2 linked regions of the Elephas maximus indicus genome follow. The protein of the gene in region 1 purifies or fractionates together with the protein of each later gene. This does not show direct contact. Links are inferred from orthologs where the notes say so. Each region holds a gene or a part of one and is shown in the gene's direction. Other genes may lie near its edges.

Region 1 (7,028 bases):
TCGGGAGTGGGTGGGGCCGCAGAGGGATCAGGGAGTGAAAGGGAACCATGGCTGGGACTGGCAATGGAAAGGGAGGGGCTATTGTGGGGCGAGGCAGGGGGCGAATCCACTCCTGGGACTCCCAAAAAGGAGCAAGGGGATGGAGTTGAGGAATGGAGCCAGATGAGTTGAAGGTGGCCTCGGGCAGTGCCCCCTCTGGTCCACCCACAGGTGCGTTCGCATCACGGACACTGGCCTCAGCTATTTGTCCACCATGTCGTCCCTCCGCAGCCTCTACCTTCGATGGTGCTGCCAGGTACCGGCCCTCCTCGCCTCAGAGGATGGAGGAGCGCCTGGGGGAAGTGGGGGTTGAGGGAAAAGCCCCCTTCCAGACAATCCGCTGACCTTCTCCCGCTCCACTCACACACTGTAGGGAAGTCTGGGATCCCTCCGCACCCAGCGGCGGACCTAAGTAGGCCTTACAGGGTCCTCAGGCCCTCACTGGCACTCCCAAACTGCCTCCTGGCTCCGTGGTGGCTAAGGAAACCCCTTCTTGAGCCCCGCATCCTGCCCCTCTAGCAGCCCAGTACTATGATTTGACCCCAGAGCAGGGTGGGGTTGGGAGGCGCCCCAAGTATGCGGACAGAAATAACCCCTGCGCTCGCGCCTAGGTGCAGGACTTCGGGTTGAAGCACCTCCTGGCCATGAGGAGTTTGCGTCTCTTGTCTCTGGCAGGTGAGACCCCCTCCATCCTCCTGGTCAGTGACCAACCCCGACTAGTCCGACCCCTACTAGTCCATCTGGTCCCTTGTGCGGATTCACACCTGAGCTGACTGGCCTTGTCCCAGGTCCAAACCAGAGAAAGAGGGAGACAGGGACAAGTTCCAGCCCCGCCAAGCCGGGTCCTGGCCGGCCCCGCCCCCGGCCGACCCCTCCCAGGCTAAGCCACCTCCCCCTCCTGCCCGCCCGCAGGCTGCCCGCTGCTGACTACATCCGGGCTGTCCGGCCTGGTGCAGCTGCAGGAGCTGGAGGAGCTGGAGCTGACGAACTGCCCGGGGGCAACGCCCGAGCTCTTCAAGTACTTCTCTCAGCACCTGCCCCGCTGCCTCGTCATCGAATAGCGCGGGGTCCTGCCCGCCCCCATCGCCTGAACCCGGTCATGCTCTGGGTGGGGGGCGGGGACACCGCTGAGCCTCCTCTCCCAGCTCTGCCCTCGGGGGAGCCCCACCCCAGTCCGGGGCGGAGAGGGGCGGGCGAGCCGAGGGAAAGCCCCGCCCTGCCCGCCCCCCCGCCCGCCCCCCCGTCACCTCCGCTCCTCTCCTGGCCCCGCCCCGGGCAGGAAGGGACAGTGGGCAAGCCCCTCGCACGCTCGCACACTCGGGGACTTTGTGCATGCCCCTCGTGCCCGCACTGCACGCCCGCCCTCCCCCACGCCCCCTCCGCCGCCATCACTCGCCCACTCGCTGCGGGGGCCAGGGTTCGGTCTTGGGGGCGCGCTTTGAGCTCACCAGACGGCCGCCTTTACTGCCTTCCCCGCCCACACCCCGCTCTCGGCCTCCGTGATACCCCCCATTCCGGACAGGGCCCCGGGCAGGGGGAGAGGGAGATCGAGGGACCTGGGTTTCCCAGGACACAGGGACCTGAAAGAGCACCAAGGGCTTCCCGCATCTTCCACGGCACAGTGCCTGGAGCCCTCCTAGGAGTGCGCCAAAGCCATGGCCCCCCCCGCCCCGAGGAGCCCAAGCTCCCTTGCCCCTCCCCCGCCCCAGGCCAGCCTGGCCCAAACGGGCCTCCCCCTTCCCTGCCACACCACCCCTGGCCTCCCTGTCCTTGGGCCCTAGGCAGGCTGGGGCAGATTTAGGTTGTAAGAGCAGTGGCCTGGCTGACCAGTCATGACCTGGGAGTGATCAATATCAGCTCAGCCAATGCCTCAACCCAGGGATGGTTCAGGCACAATGAGAGACCCAGAGCTGGAGTTGACACCTCAGGGCCCAAAGGCCTTGGGAGCAGCCTGGGCAGAGCCCACACTGCAGCCCCTGCCACCCGCTGGCTCAAGCCTTTCAACACCAAGCTTCACCGTAGGCAGGTGTCCACCAGGTGGATTCTGTAGCAGTGGGCCCCGGCCAAGGCTGGGGGAAGCGCCAGCCAGTGACCCCAATCTTCCAGTGGCCAGCATACCCTCTGCACCTAGAGGAGGGACGGCTTCCCTCTAACCCCCCCTCCCATCCCTCCCAGTTTCCCAACCCTCTGCCTGCCCAAATGGGCTTTGGCCATGTTCTGTCTGATTCCAAGACACTTGGAAGTCCTGGGCAATGCTGGGACATCTTGGCAATTGCTGAGGAGGGGGCTGGGACCCCTTTCCATCCCAACCTTGAGCCCCAGGAGATACACCCCCCAAATCTGATTGGAAGAGAGTAAGCAGTTTCCAGAGAGCCAGAGAGTGAGAAAGAGAAAGAGAGCAAACGAGAGCAGAGGCTCTTGAAGCAGAGAAGCAGTTCAACAGCCCAAAGGTTTCCCTGCCCCTTGAAGTGCCAGCAGGAGGCACTGGGACTGAAGTCGTCAGGAACCAGTTTCTTAAGCCCCTACTCTCCACAGCCCCTTAGTGGGGAGGAGGGAGCTGTCCATTGTCCAAAGTATTAAAGGAACTGAAGCTCTGATATTTCCAGCAACTATAGGAGGAAAAGTGAGAGAGAGAGAGGAAAAACAAACAAAACCAACCAACCCCTGAAATCATTTTCTTATTGTACATAATGACCTCATTCTCCTGTATATGCGGAAGATATAACCTTATATTTGGTAAGTGTTTCTTGTGCTATTTTATCACGTGACCTGTTTATAAAAATATATATTAAAAATGTTGTAAAAACCCGAGTCTGAGTGGTTTCTAGGTCATCAGACCGTGCCGGGGGAGGGTTTTCCTGCTGTGGGTGGCCCAGATCTATGTGGATCCTTGTGTACCTCTCAACATGCTTTCAACACACATGTTGGCGCTGTGTGCCACTGTGCCAAACTGGGAACAGAGCAGTAACCAACACAGAAGACGCCTAACCTCCCAGATGCTGAAACCACTGCATATAATATTCCCTCCAAAATGAGACCCATTCTACACACAGGGGAACTGAGGCTAAGAGAGGGGCAGGGATTTCCTAAAACATCACACAGTGCCTCAAGGGCAGAATCCAGGACTCACACCCAGCAGAGAACGGAATGCGGGAGAGGGTCACTGATTGAAGGAATCCTGCAAACAGGTTGTGTCAAGGACTGGAAGTCTGGTGGAGACTGAGGCCGACTCGATCCCTGCCCTTGTTGAGTTCATACTTGTGAACCAGTAAGCAAACGAACAGGCTGTGACATGTTGTGGAGGCGACAGTGACAGAAGTGGCCAGGAAGGCCTCTGAGAAGGTGATATTTAAGCTGAGCTCTGAGAGGTGCCAAGAGAACCATTCAGGTATAGCAGGTGCAATGGCCGTGAGGCAGGAAGGAGCGCTGCGTGCTAAAAAAAAAAAAAAAAGGCACGGGAGCCACTAGGGCTGGGGCACAGGGAGCGGGGAGAAGTGTGGCGGAAGATGGGGAGAGGTGGAGGCCAAGCTTGCAGTGGGAGCTATGGGGGAGGGCTTAAGCGGAAGAGTGGTACCAGGCTCCTGTAGGTTTTAGGTCAAAGGGGAAAGGCAGGCCCAGGCAAAGCAGTTAGGAGGCTGCTCCTGAGGCTCAGGAGTCGGCAAGGATGTATTTGGGGGACAATTGGAGGAATCTGGGAATCATTTACGGAAGATCTGACTTGCTGATGCGCCTGGGAGGAGGGAGATGTCAGGGATGAAAACTGGCATTTAAATACTGAGATAAAAACACCAAGGTGAAAACGGGTAGTCCGGGAGGCCCCCCAGTCCCAGTCCTGGGCTATCCTCCTCGGATACCAAAGCGGCTTCCTGACCCGGAACTTTAGTGGTGTGCGCGAGAATTCGCGCCCGCTTCCGGCGGGGCGAGTGAAAAGAACCGCTTCCGGCGAGGGGCAGGTAAGAAACGGACCGCTTCCGGCGCGGCTGTTAGCGTCCGGCCGGCAGCTTTGGTAAATGCGTTGGGAGCCGGCGGAAAGCATAGCCGCCCCCGCTGCTCTGGTTCCGGTCCCGCTGTCCTTGCTCCCCCGCGCCACCGGCACCTCCGCGCCGCCCTCAGGAATTCAGTACTCCGCCTGCGCCTCTGCTGTCTCCCGTCCCGCCCGTCTTCCAAACCCCTCCAGCTCCTTAAGCAGCTCGGGCCTCGAGGCCCCCCTATGCCCCCCGCGCCTCTATCGCCTGGGTCCTCCGGACCCATCTGCCTCTCTCCTCTTTTGTCACTCCCTCGCCTTCGTGTGGACGTGGGAGCCACTTCATTCCTCTGTCCAGCGACGCGGACGGCCGGGCTTGACTGACCGAGGGGCCAGTGACTGCCCAAATCTGACTGATGAGGGGGTAGAGAGGTGGCCTAGACCGAGACTGACCCGCCTCAGGGTACTGTGGGGCCAAGTGGCCTACCTAGCTAGGGTGATGGGCTGAACTGACTCCAGTGAGTTTGAACTTGCCTATTAGACTGACGGACAGAGACCCGTGGACTGCCCTGAACCAGCTCTTCACGGCTGCCCAGCCAAGCCCAGGCCCGAGCAGTCCTGGGGGGCCCAGCGAGTGTGAAGGGTCTGAACTGAGGGACAGACCCACAGTCGACCAGCCTTCCTGCTCACTGACCTCCTGCCCCCACCAGACGTGCAGCAATGGAAAAGATGTCCCGTGTAACCACCGCCCTGGGTGGCAATGTGCTGACGGGCCGCACCATGCACTGCCATCTGGATGCGCCAGCCAATGCCATCAGCGTCTGCCGTGATGCGGCCCAGGTTGTGGTGGCTGGCCGCAGCATCTTCAAGATCTACGCCATCGAGGAAGAGCAGTTTGTGGAGAAACTAAACCTGCGTGTGGGCCGTAAGCCCTCGCTCAACCTGAGCTGTGCAGATGTGGTCTGGCACCAGATGGACGACAATCTACTGGCCACAGCGGCCACCAATGGCGTGGTGGTCACTTGGAACCTGGGTCGGCCATCCCGCAACAAGCAGGACCAGCTGTTCACAGAGCATAAGCGCACGGTGAATAAGGTTTGTTTCCATCCCACTGAGGCCCACATGCTGCTCAGTGGCTCCCAGGACGGCTTCATGAAGTGCTTTGACCTGCGCAGGAAGGACTCTGTCAGCACTTTCTCAGGTGAGGCCTGCAGGGTTTGGATGGGACAAGTGCAGGTCTCAGTAGGCATCCCAGCCTGTCCAGGCCGGGCCAGGAGTGTTGCCTGCCTCAGAGGCCTTCAGGTGTGCCCCAGAGGGCTTCCTAGAGGAGGGGTTCAGGAGGAGCAGGCCTGGATGAGGTGGGAGTGGCACCTGGACCTGCTGGGGGTGGAGTGGGGCCGAACTGTCAGAGAGAGTGAGGTGTTGAGGTATGAGCCAGGGGAGGGGATGTGGTAGGGGAGGGATGAGGGTTGAGAGCTGTTGAGACAGGAGGCAAGGCCAGCAGAGTCGGAGCAGGGCACGGGCCACGTGTCTGCATCCTTGCGCCAGGTGCCTGTGTCTGCTCCACGAGGCTTCTCCCTGCGGCTGTGCCCTAAGCAGTGCTTGAGGGTGCCCATTTCACCTCTGGGCTCTAGGCTAAGGCTGCAGGCAGGCATGGAAACGAGTCCTCAGCCACTCAGAGGCTCCACCAGGCCTCCTCCCATCCTGGAGCTTGAGGACTGGCCCCTCACTTCCTCCTGCCCCTCCCCTCCATGGCCAACCACCTGCAGGCCAGTCCGAGAGCGTGCGTGATGTGCAGTTCAGCATCCGAGACTACTTCACCTTTGCTTCCACCTTTGAGAATGGCAACGTGCAGCTCTGGGACATCCGGCGGCCTGACCGCTGCGAGAGGATGTTCACGGCCCACAACGGGCCTGTGTTCTGCTGCGACTGGCACCCTGAGGACAGGTGTTGTGTGAGGGGTCACCTGAGGACAGGGTGTGTGTGCGTGAGGTCACCCAAGGGCAGGTGGGGCATGGGGGGGTCACCCGAGGGCAGGTGTGTGTATGGGGTCTCCAGAGGGCAGGTGTGGTGTGGGGCGGGGGAATCATCTAAGGAGAAGTGTGATATGGGGGAATTACCTGAGGACAGGTGTGGCATGTGTGGGGTTGTCACCTGAGGACAGGTGTGGTGGTAGTGGGGGGATTGGACAGACGGGTGAGGCACAGAGGTCTCTCTCACTGACTCAGACCTGTGAATCAGAGAAAGTAGGATACAGCAGGACTGAGGCACCCCCCTCCCACAGAAGAGGATGCTGAGGTCTTGGCGGGGCTCTTGCAGGGGCTGGCTGGCCACTGGTGGACGTGACAAGATGGTGAAGGTCTGGGACATGACCACGCCCCGTGCCAGGGAGGTGCACTGTGTACAGACCATCGCTTCAGTAGCCCGTGTCAAGTGGCGGCCTGAGTGTCGCCACCATTTGGCCACCTGCTCCATGATGGTAGATCACAACATCTACGTGTGGGATGTGCGCCGGCCCTTTGTGCCTGCCGCCATGTTTGAGGAGCACCGTGACGTCACAACAGGCATTGCCTGGCGCCACCCACACGACCCCTCCTTCCTGCTGTCCGGCTCCAAGGACAGCACACTGTGCCAGCATCTGTTCCGTGATGCCAGCCAGCCTGTCGAGCGTGCCAACCCTGAGGGCCTCTGCTACGGCCTCTTTGGGGACCTGGCCTTTGCTGCCAAGGAGAGCCTGGTGGCTGCCGAGTTGGGGCGCAAGCCCTATGCTGGTGACCGGCGCCACCCCATCTTTTTCAAACGCAAGCTGGACCCCTCCGAGCCCTTTGCAGGCCTGGCCTCCAGTGCCCTCAGCATCTTTGAGACAGAGGCTGGTGGCAGCAGCATGAGCTGGTTCGTGGACACGGCCCAGCGTTATGCCCTGGCTGGCCGGCCACTGGCTGAGCTCTGTGACCACAATGCTAAGGTGGCCCGAGAGCTGGGCCGCAACCAGGTGAGTGGGGTTGGGTGGGGTGGGGCAGGCATG
Region 2 (7,207 bases), on another chromosome or scaffold:
CCTAGGCAGCCAGGCTGTCCTGGCAGTGATGGGGTCATGTGGGTAGAAAACAGGTTTTGGTTTGTCCAAGTCCTTCTGCTTCCTGCCCTGTAGCTCGGCAAGTGGAATCAGGAGTTGTGTGCAGCTTTCTCCCGAAGCAGTGACTTCCCTGGCATGCAACTCTGGGACTTGTGGAAACTGCAGAGACCAGACCCCCATCCTTCCTGGGGTCAGCCTTTAGTGGCCAGGGCTAGGGGATGCTGATGGAGGGCAGGGGCCCAGGCTGGGAGGCAGAGGGGAAGGTCTTTCTCCTCATGTGCACCTACCCCTTGCTGCCCCACAGGTAGTGGAGTTGCCTGTGACAGAGCGCCAGATTGAGCGTGAGCACCTCATCCAGCTGCGGCGCTGGCAGGAGACTCGGGGTGAGCTGCAGTGCTGCGCCCTGCCCCGGCTGCATGGTGCCAAGGCCATCCTGGAGGCGGAGCCAGGCCCCCGGCTGGCTCTGGAACCTTCGCCGTCCATTCGCCTGCCCCCAGATGCCCACCTCCCTGGCTCCAAAGCCAAGCCCAAGCTGCCCAAGCAGGTCCAGAAGGAAAAGAAGGAGCAGCAGAAGAAGGCAAAAGCAAGCGGCCAGGTGGGCCAGTCCCCAGCCACAGGCCAAGTTGAGGTGGCAGCTGCTGCAGGAGATGCATGCCCCCCACAGGACACGCCCCTGAAGGACCCAGCCCCCCAGGACTCAGCCCACCACTGCTCCCAGGAGAGTCTGACGTCCCAGGAGAGCGAGGATACCTACTTGTAACCCTGGTAGCCCAGGCCTCCGGGGCGGGGTCTCCACACATCTATACGGTTAACAGACTGACACTCCAGGGCCTGCCCACCCTCTGAGGGCCTGACCGCCTGGCTGGTGGGTGGGGATGGGGTCTGACTGGTTCATTACAGACTCTGCCTGAAGCTCCTTATTTATTTTCTCCAGAGTGGAGCTCAGGCAGCCCAGCCAGGGCAGGCAGAAGTGAGGGCCAAGTGGGTGGGTTCTTACTTCTCCTCCTCCTCCTGGGGCGATGCTCCCCGGGGCTGGGCCACTGATATGAGGAGAGGGCGGGGTGAAGGGTTGGGTGTTCTTTGTGTAAAATAGGAACATGGTTTTGTACAGAAATAAACAGACTTGTGTAGAGAGCTGGTGTTCAGCGGGGGACCAGAAGGGGATGCCACCCATGGGGCTGAGCGTCTCTTCTCCATGTCCTACAGAGTCTCCTATCCTGGGCCTTGGAACACCTGGCTCCCAGCCCAGCCCCAGAGCCTTTCTCAGCACATTTGCCAAAGGGGATGCCAAGTTCAGGGCCACCCCTGTTCCTGGCCCTCAGCTCCCCACCCCACTCCCTCAGTCCCATGTCCACCATCTGCTGTGGATAAGAGGTACCAGGCCAGGATCCCAGGGCTGGGGCAGAGCAGGGCCTGCTCCCAGCCCTTGGTCCCTACCCATTACCTTAAGGAAGTGGCTTCAGGGTCTTCCTCCTCCAAGACCTGGCCTGGATGCCACATCAGGCCCCAATGAGATTCTGAGTGCTCACTCTGGGTTAGGTGTTGGCGCCCGGGGTGGGGGTCCATGAATTCCCTCATGTACTCAGCCTAGGCCTCCATCAGAGGTAGAGAGGTGAGGGGAGAAGTCTGCCTCCTTGATAAACTGCTGCCTCCCATTGACTGGTGGCACAGTGGTTAAGAGCTATGTCGCTAACCAAAAGGCTGGCAGTTTGAATCTACCAGACTTTGCTTGGAAACCCTATGGGGGAGTTCTGCTGTCTTGTAGGGTCGCTATGAGTCAGAATCAACTTAACGGCAATGGGTTTGGTTTTTTCTTTTCCCATTGACTGAGCACGTGCCACGAGCCAGGCTGGTTGTGTCGCCAGGTTGTGCCTGATCAGTTACTCCTCAGCCCAGCCTTTATTCCCTATTCCAGTCTATTATCCCCATTTTACAGGCCAGGAAAGATCTGAGCGTGAAAGGAATCTTCCCCTGTAGAAGTAATGGAGCCAGATTTGCACCCAGGGCCCTTCAGCTGTCTCTCCTGACCCAGGTCCCAGGGTGACCTGACTCTGCTATTGAGGGCCCAGGCAGGCGCAGTGGTCACAACCTGATGAGGGCAAGGACAGGGTGTCCCTGGGAGAGGCTCCCCCTTCTGCTGAGGAAGCAGCTTTTCCAGTCAAACAATAGCGGCTGTTCCTGGCAGTCAACCAGGCTGGGCCTGGCCGTGGGGTGAGGGGGGCAGGAGAAACTCCCTGGGAGCTTAAAGGCATCACAGGGCCTGGGGCCTGGAACATCTTGTCCCGGTGTAGCTAGGGATACTGAGGCCTAGGGAGGCCAATGGTCATACAAGCCTATCAGGGCAAGGCCCCTACTTCCTGCCTCCCACCCCTCACCCCTGTGGTTTTCCACTCAATCTGTACCTGCATTGATGAGAAGGGTGGCTCCCCAGCCTTTCAGCAACACCCCTCCCCTAGCCCTCCAGGGGCAGCCCAGGATGTGGCGTTGCAGTGTCCACAGGAACCAGTGAGTAGAGAGTTCAGGGCTTAGTTTGTGTCTATCTGCCTACAGAGAGGCTCCAGAGAAAACAGAAGGCCTGCTGCGGCCCACTTTCCCTTGCTTGGTTCCAGGTCTCTTTAGGACTGATTCTCAAGACTGATGAGATCTGCAGCCTGAGGACCCTCAGGCCAGACTGGGTCTGCAGCATGTTTGGTCTTGCCACAGGCCAGCCTAGGTGGGTTGATAGCTGCTCAACCTTGGAGTCTTCTTAGACCTGAGGAGGCTGAAGCAGAACCCAGACTTCAACTTCAAATGAACTCAGGTTGGCCCTCACATGCTTCAGGTCTATGATGGCTGCCATTGCTGGGGCCTCCTTGGGCCTGAAGCAAGTTTGGATGTGCTCACGCCAGCTGAATTCTACTAATGGCTGCAGGTTTTAGGAGGCCTGAGATCTAGTACCCAGTGAGCTTCCAGCACATGGGTTTGCCCTCTTCGGCCTGATCCCTGTAGTCTGAGCCCTGGGCATTCCTGGACCAAACACTTCTGGGCTTGGTTAGTCTTGCGTGATTTCAAGCCTTAGGTCTGGGCCACCTTCAGCCCCCTACCCCATGGCATGTTACTTAGACAGAGGCTGCCGAGGCTCTCCTTTTTCATGTGTCCCTGGTGGGGAACTTTACTCTGAAAGTTAGGTGAGAGGAACAGATGTGGGAGCCACCCAGGCCGACCCAGGTTTCCCCTTGTCAGCCCCTTCGCAGGGTTCACCAAGCAGGGACGGATACGTATGCATCAATACCCACCCTAGGCAGCCCTTGCTGGGGGATGAGAACTTGTCACCCCCACCCCAGCCAGCTCTAGCGGCCCTGCCACCTGCCAAATAATGAGAAGAAGGAGGGAGAAAAGCGCCGGCACAGTTTTTGGAGGGACCCCATCACAGGGTCGCCAGGGCTGCACAGCGGACCTTTACCCCTCCATGCCCCAGGGGATCGCGGGCATCGCTCTGGTTCCAGCAGAGCCCCAGTTCGCCTCGCAGGCCTTTCGAGCGTCAATCAACTCAATCATGACCTCAATCATAAGACCCACGTGGGGGTCCAAAGGGCAGAGACGACCTCCATTCGTTCCAGACGCTTCCTGCCCCAGCACTGCTAGAGTCCTGCGGAAAGGGCGGGGCCTGGAGGGCGCGGAGCGGGTAGGGTCAGCCGGAGATCCAAGAGCTACTGCCGAAGGCGCGGGGCCCGCCGAGGTCCGGAAGGAGCGAGGTGAAGCCCCGTCATTCGGGGGGGCGTGGCCACCCCGGAGAGGCAGCGCGGGCAGCGGGGCGAGGCCGTCGGGGTGCAGGACGGGGCGGGGCGGGGCGGGGCTGGGACGGTCCACGGAGTAGTGGGCGGTGTGGACGCGTCCGCGCAACTGCTCCTTTAAACCCGGGCGCCGCCCGCCGTCCCGCCTCCCGCGCGGCCTGGGTCTGGTTAGCCGCGGGGTCCGCTCAGCGCGGGTCGCGATGGAGCTGCACATCCTAGAACACCGGGTGCGGGTCCTGAGCCTCGCCCGCCCCGGCCTTTGGCTCTACACTCACCCGCTCATCAAGCTGCTCTTCCTGCCCCGCCGCAGTCGGTGCGCTCCTGGGTTCGGGGGTTCAGATGGGGTTGGGAGCTCTGCTGTCACTCCCGGCCAGGGTAGGGGGATAAGGGTCGCTGCGGGGCGGGCTGGAGCGGGTGGGGAGGACGCTCCTCCTCCGGCCGCCGTCAGGCCTGAACCTACGGTCCCCGGGACCGCCACCTATCCGACACCGCGAGGCTCGGGTCCCAGGGCCAGTCGGGGTGCAAACAGCATAGAGTGGGCAATGCTTAACTCCAAGTGCTGCCAGATGGGTGGATTCCTTCCTGGCCACTGCGGGGAGCTTCCAAGCGCCTCCCGTTAGGTCAAAAAGTCCGGCTTGGGGACCCAGGGCCTGAAGCCCTCGGGGCCGTCTCCCGGAATAGGGAAAGACGAATGCGTGAAGAAGCCAGAGCAGGGGTCCAGGGAGGTCGGGAGGCGGAAATCAGTTTGCTATTCGGGAGATGGCGCCCACACCCTCTGCCCCGGGAAGGAAACTAAGGCCGGAGGGGAGCACTGGTCTTAAACCACCTGGCAGACGGGAGGGCGTCCGGCGGGATGTCTGTCCAAGGCAGATGAGCGCAGGGAGCTCTTCACCCCAGGCTGAAGGCGCCCCTCCCCCAACCAGGTGCAAGTTCTTCAGCCTGACAGAGACCCCCGAGGATTACACGCTCATGGTGGACGAGGAGGGCTTCAAAGGTGGGGGCCGGACTAGGAAGCAGGAGCAGGGGAGGGACTCTTCGCGCTGGGGTCCGGTGCTCCAAGAGCTGGGTCATTGAAGGCAGATGGATCTGGGTTTGAATGTGGACCCACTACTCAACTGGCTGTGTGCTCTTGAGCAAGTCATTTTCCCTCTCTGAGCCTGGTTACTGTTATGTAAAATGGTTGTGGTTATGGTTCTGATCTATCAGGGTCCTATGAGTGCTTTATACATGGGGCTGCCTGAGGGGGTTTCTGGAGCTGCTATAAACCCCTAACCGTTACTGCTCCTGGACTTCTCTCCCTGATGCTGGTCACCCGCCCCACCCCCCAGCCTGGGAACCCCAGGAGTTGGAGGGTTGGGGAAAGAATGCAGGAGCGGGCAGCCATCCAGAGCGGGGTCCTAGGGGGCCTCCTGGTTGTGCTGGGTGATCAGCAACCACCCAGGCTTGGCCCCCGCTGTGGACTGGAAGCCAGCCTGTTCCCTTCCCCAAGCCTTGGAGCTGACTTCTGGCTCCCATTCCTGCCAGCTTGGCCCATCCTCCAGACCTGAAATCTCAGGCCAGCCAACTGGCAATTGGCCCATCCATCCCCCACTGCTCTGCTTCGGGCCTTAGTTTCCCTGTTTGTACTGCAGGGAAGTCTGGGTTGGCCAGGGGGAAGGACATCCCCAGCCAACCTGATGTGCTTGCGCCTCCTGGTGGTGCCAAGTGGTGTAAAGCCTTTGTTAATCCTCAGAACATCCTTTCAGATAGGTATATTGTTGTCCCATTTTACAGATAAGGTAACAGGCTCAAAGGTTAAGTTACTTGTCCCAGGTTACACATTGAGTAAACGGTGAAATTGGGATTTGAGCCCAGGTCTGTCTGGGACACTTCAATTCCTAGCAGGCCAGTCCCTGAAGTGCTTCTCAGTCCTTGCATACATGAGAATCTCAAGAGAAAAACTTGGGGTGGGGGGGGGTCAGCCTCATTCTCCAGACCTCCCAGTACCTTGACAGGGCCCTCTAGGTATGGACGAGGAAACTGAGGCTCAGAGAGGGACAGGGGCCAGCTCTGTGGACCCTGACTGGGCATGTGCCCCTACCCACAGAGCTGCCCCCATCCGAGTACCTGCAAGTGGCTGAGGCCACATGGCTGGTGCTGAACGTCTCATCCCACAGCGGTGCAGCCACAGCAGTGCAGGCCGCCGGGGTTACCAAGATCGCCCGCTCAGTCATCACGCCGCTGGCTGAGCACCACGTGTCGGTGCTGATGCTGTCCACTTACCAGACGGACTTCATCCTGGTGAGTGTCTGCAGGCCCTGGGGCAGGGTGGGCCCGGGTTCCTGGGCACCCACATGATGTGTCTTCTCTCTATGGCCAGGTGCGGGAGCAGGACTTGTCTGTGGTGATCCACACGCTGGCCCAGGAGTTTGACATTTACCGCGAGGTGGGCGGGGAGCCTGTGCCCGTTGCCAGGGATGAGTCCAGCAATGGCTTTCCCCGTGCCCAGCATGGTGAGGGCTGCCCCCTGACACTCAAAACTCGGGCAGGGGATCCTCTTCCCACTGGGGCCTCTTCCCCTCTTCCCTTGTGTGGGCAGGTCTGTGGGCCCAAAGAACCTAGGCCAGTGCCTGGAGAGCGAGACCCCATGCTTGGCCCAGGAGCCTCCCTGACCCACCACTAGGGAGCGCCCTAGCCCATGGCTGTCTGTTTACCAGCCAGCTGGTCCCTCCCAAGCAGGGCCCAGCCCAACGGTGCATCCTGTCCAGAGCCCTCAGAATCGCTTCTGTGTCCTCACCTTGGATCCCGAGACGCTGCCAGCCATTGCCACCACACTCATAGACGTCCTCTTCTACTCACACAGGTGGGCCCCTTGTTTGTTGTTCACTGTGTTCCATCCTACCATCTCCTGCCCGTCCATACGTTCTGCAGCCCTGTGCCCTGTTCTACGTTCCTGACAGTCCCTGACACCCACATGCCTTCCACCAATATTTGAGCAAGGTTGGCTGGAGTCCTCTACGACTGTGTCAGCAGAGCCACCCCAGACCCCTGCCCTAGTCAGGCCCTCTTGCCTCTGGGATCCTATGTCTTTGGCATAACAGGTGGTACTCTATCTGCACAGTCAAGAAGTTGGGGCCTTGGACAGGGGAGCAAAGCGTTCCAGAGAGGGAGGGCCTACCCCGGGTCACCTGGTACCAGCCCCTGCCCCAGGGTTGGGAGGCTGATGGGGAGGAGACGGATGTGGGCTGGGTGCCTGGCACAGCCTCTGAACCTTCTTTCCCTCCCTAGTGCCCCCAAGGAGGCGGCCTCTGGGAGTCCTGAACCCAGCTCCATCCCATTCTTTGCCTTCTCCCTCATTGAGGGCTACATCTCCATCGTCATGGATGCTGAGACACAGAAAAAGTACGTGACCCACCCGTACCTGGAGAGGGCTACAG

The links. The genes of interacting proteins can lie anywhere in the genome.
Region 2: the proteins of WDR24 (region 1) and CASTOR1 purify together in Homo sapiens (affinity purification with mass spectrometry; 3 studies listed by BioGRID and IntAct, counting the BioPlex papers as one, with this or other methods). This does not show direct contact. The link is inferred for Elephas maximus indicus from reciprocal best matches to the Homo sapiens genes WDR24 and CASTOR1.

Annotation. Positions count from the first base shown.
Region 1 is NC_064830.1:57,902,458-57,909,485, reverse strand, and holds the start of WDR24 (GATOR complex protein WDR24), read left to right. Parts: upstream 1-4,020; 5' UTR 4,021-4,723; coding exon 4,724-5,204; intron 5,205-5,772; coding exon 5,773-5,980; intron 5,981-6,322; coding exon 6,323-6,995; intron 6,996-7,028. Other genes in the region: FBXL16 (F-box/LRR-repeat protein 16), read left to right, coding at 211-295, 651-714, 952-1,100. UniProt on the Homo sapiens protein: Catalytic component of the GATOR2 complex, a multiprotein complex that acts as an activator of the amino acid-sensing branch of the mTORC1 signaling pathway. The GATOR2 complex indirectly activates mTORC1 through the inhibition of the GATOR1 subcomplex.
Region 2 is NC_064840.1:26,092,194-26,099,400, forward strand, and holds the start of CASTOR1 (cytosolic arginine sensor for mTORC1 subunit 1), read left to right. Parts: upstream 1-4,195; 5' UTR 4,196-4,550; coding exon 4,551-4,785; intron 4,786-5,877; coding exon 5,878-6,071; intron 6,072-6,150; coding exon 6,151-6,283; intron 6,284-6,509; coding exon 6,510-6,633; intron 6,634-7,058; coding exon 7,059-7,172; intron 7,173-7,207. Other genes in the region: TBC1D10A (TBC1 domain family member 10A), read left to right, coding at 323-778. UniProt on the Homo sapiens protein: Functions as an intracellular arginine sensor within the amino acid-sensing branch of the TORC1 signaling pathway. As a homodimer or a heterodimer with CASTOR2, binds and inhibits the GATOR subcomplex GATOR2 and thereby mTORC1.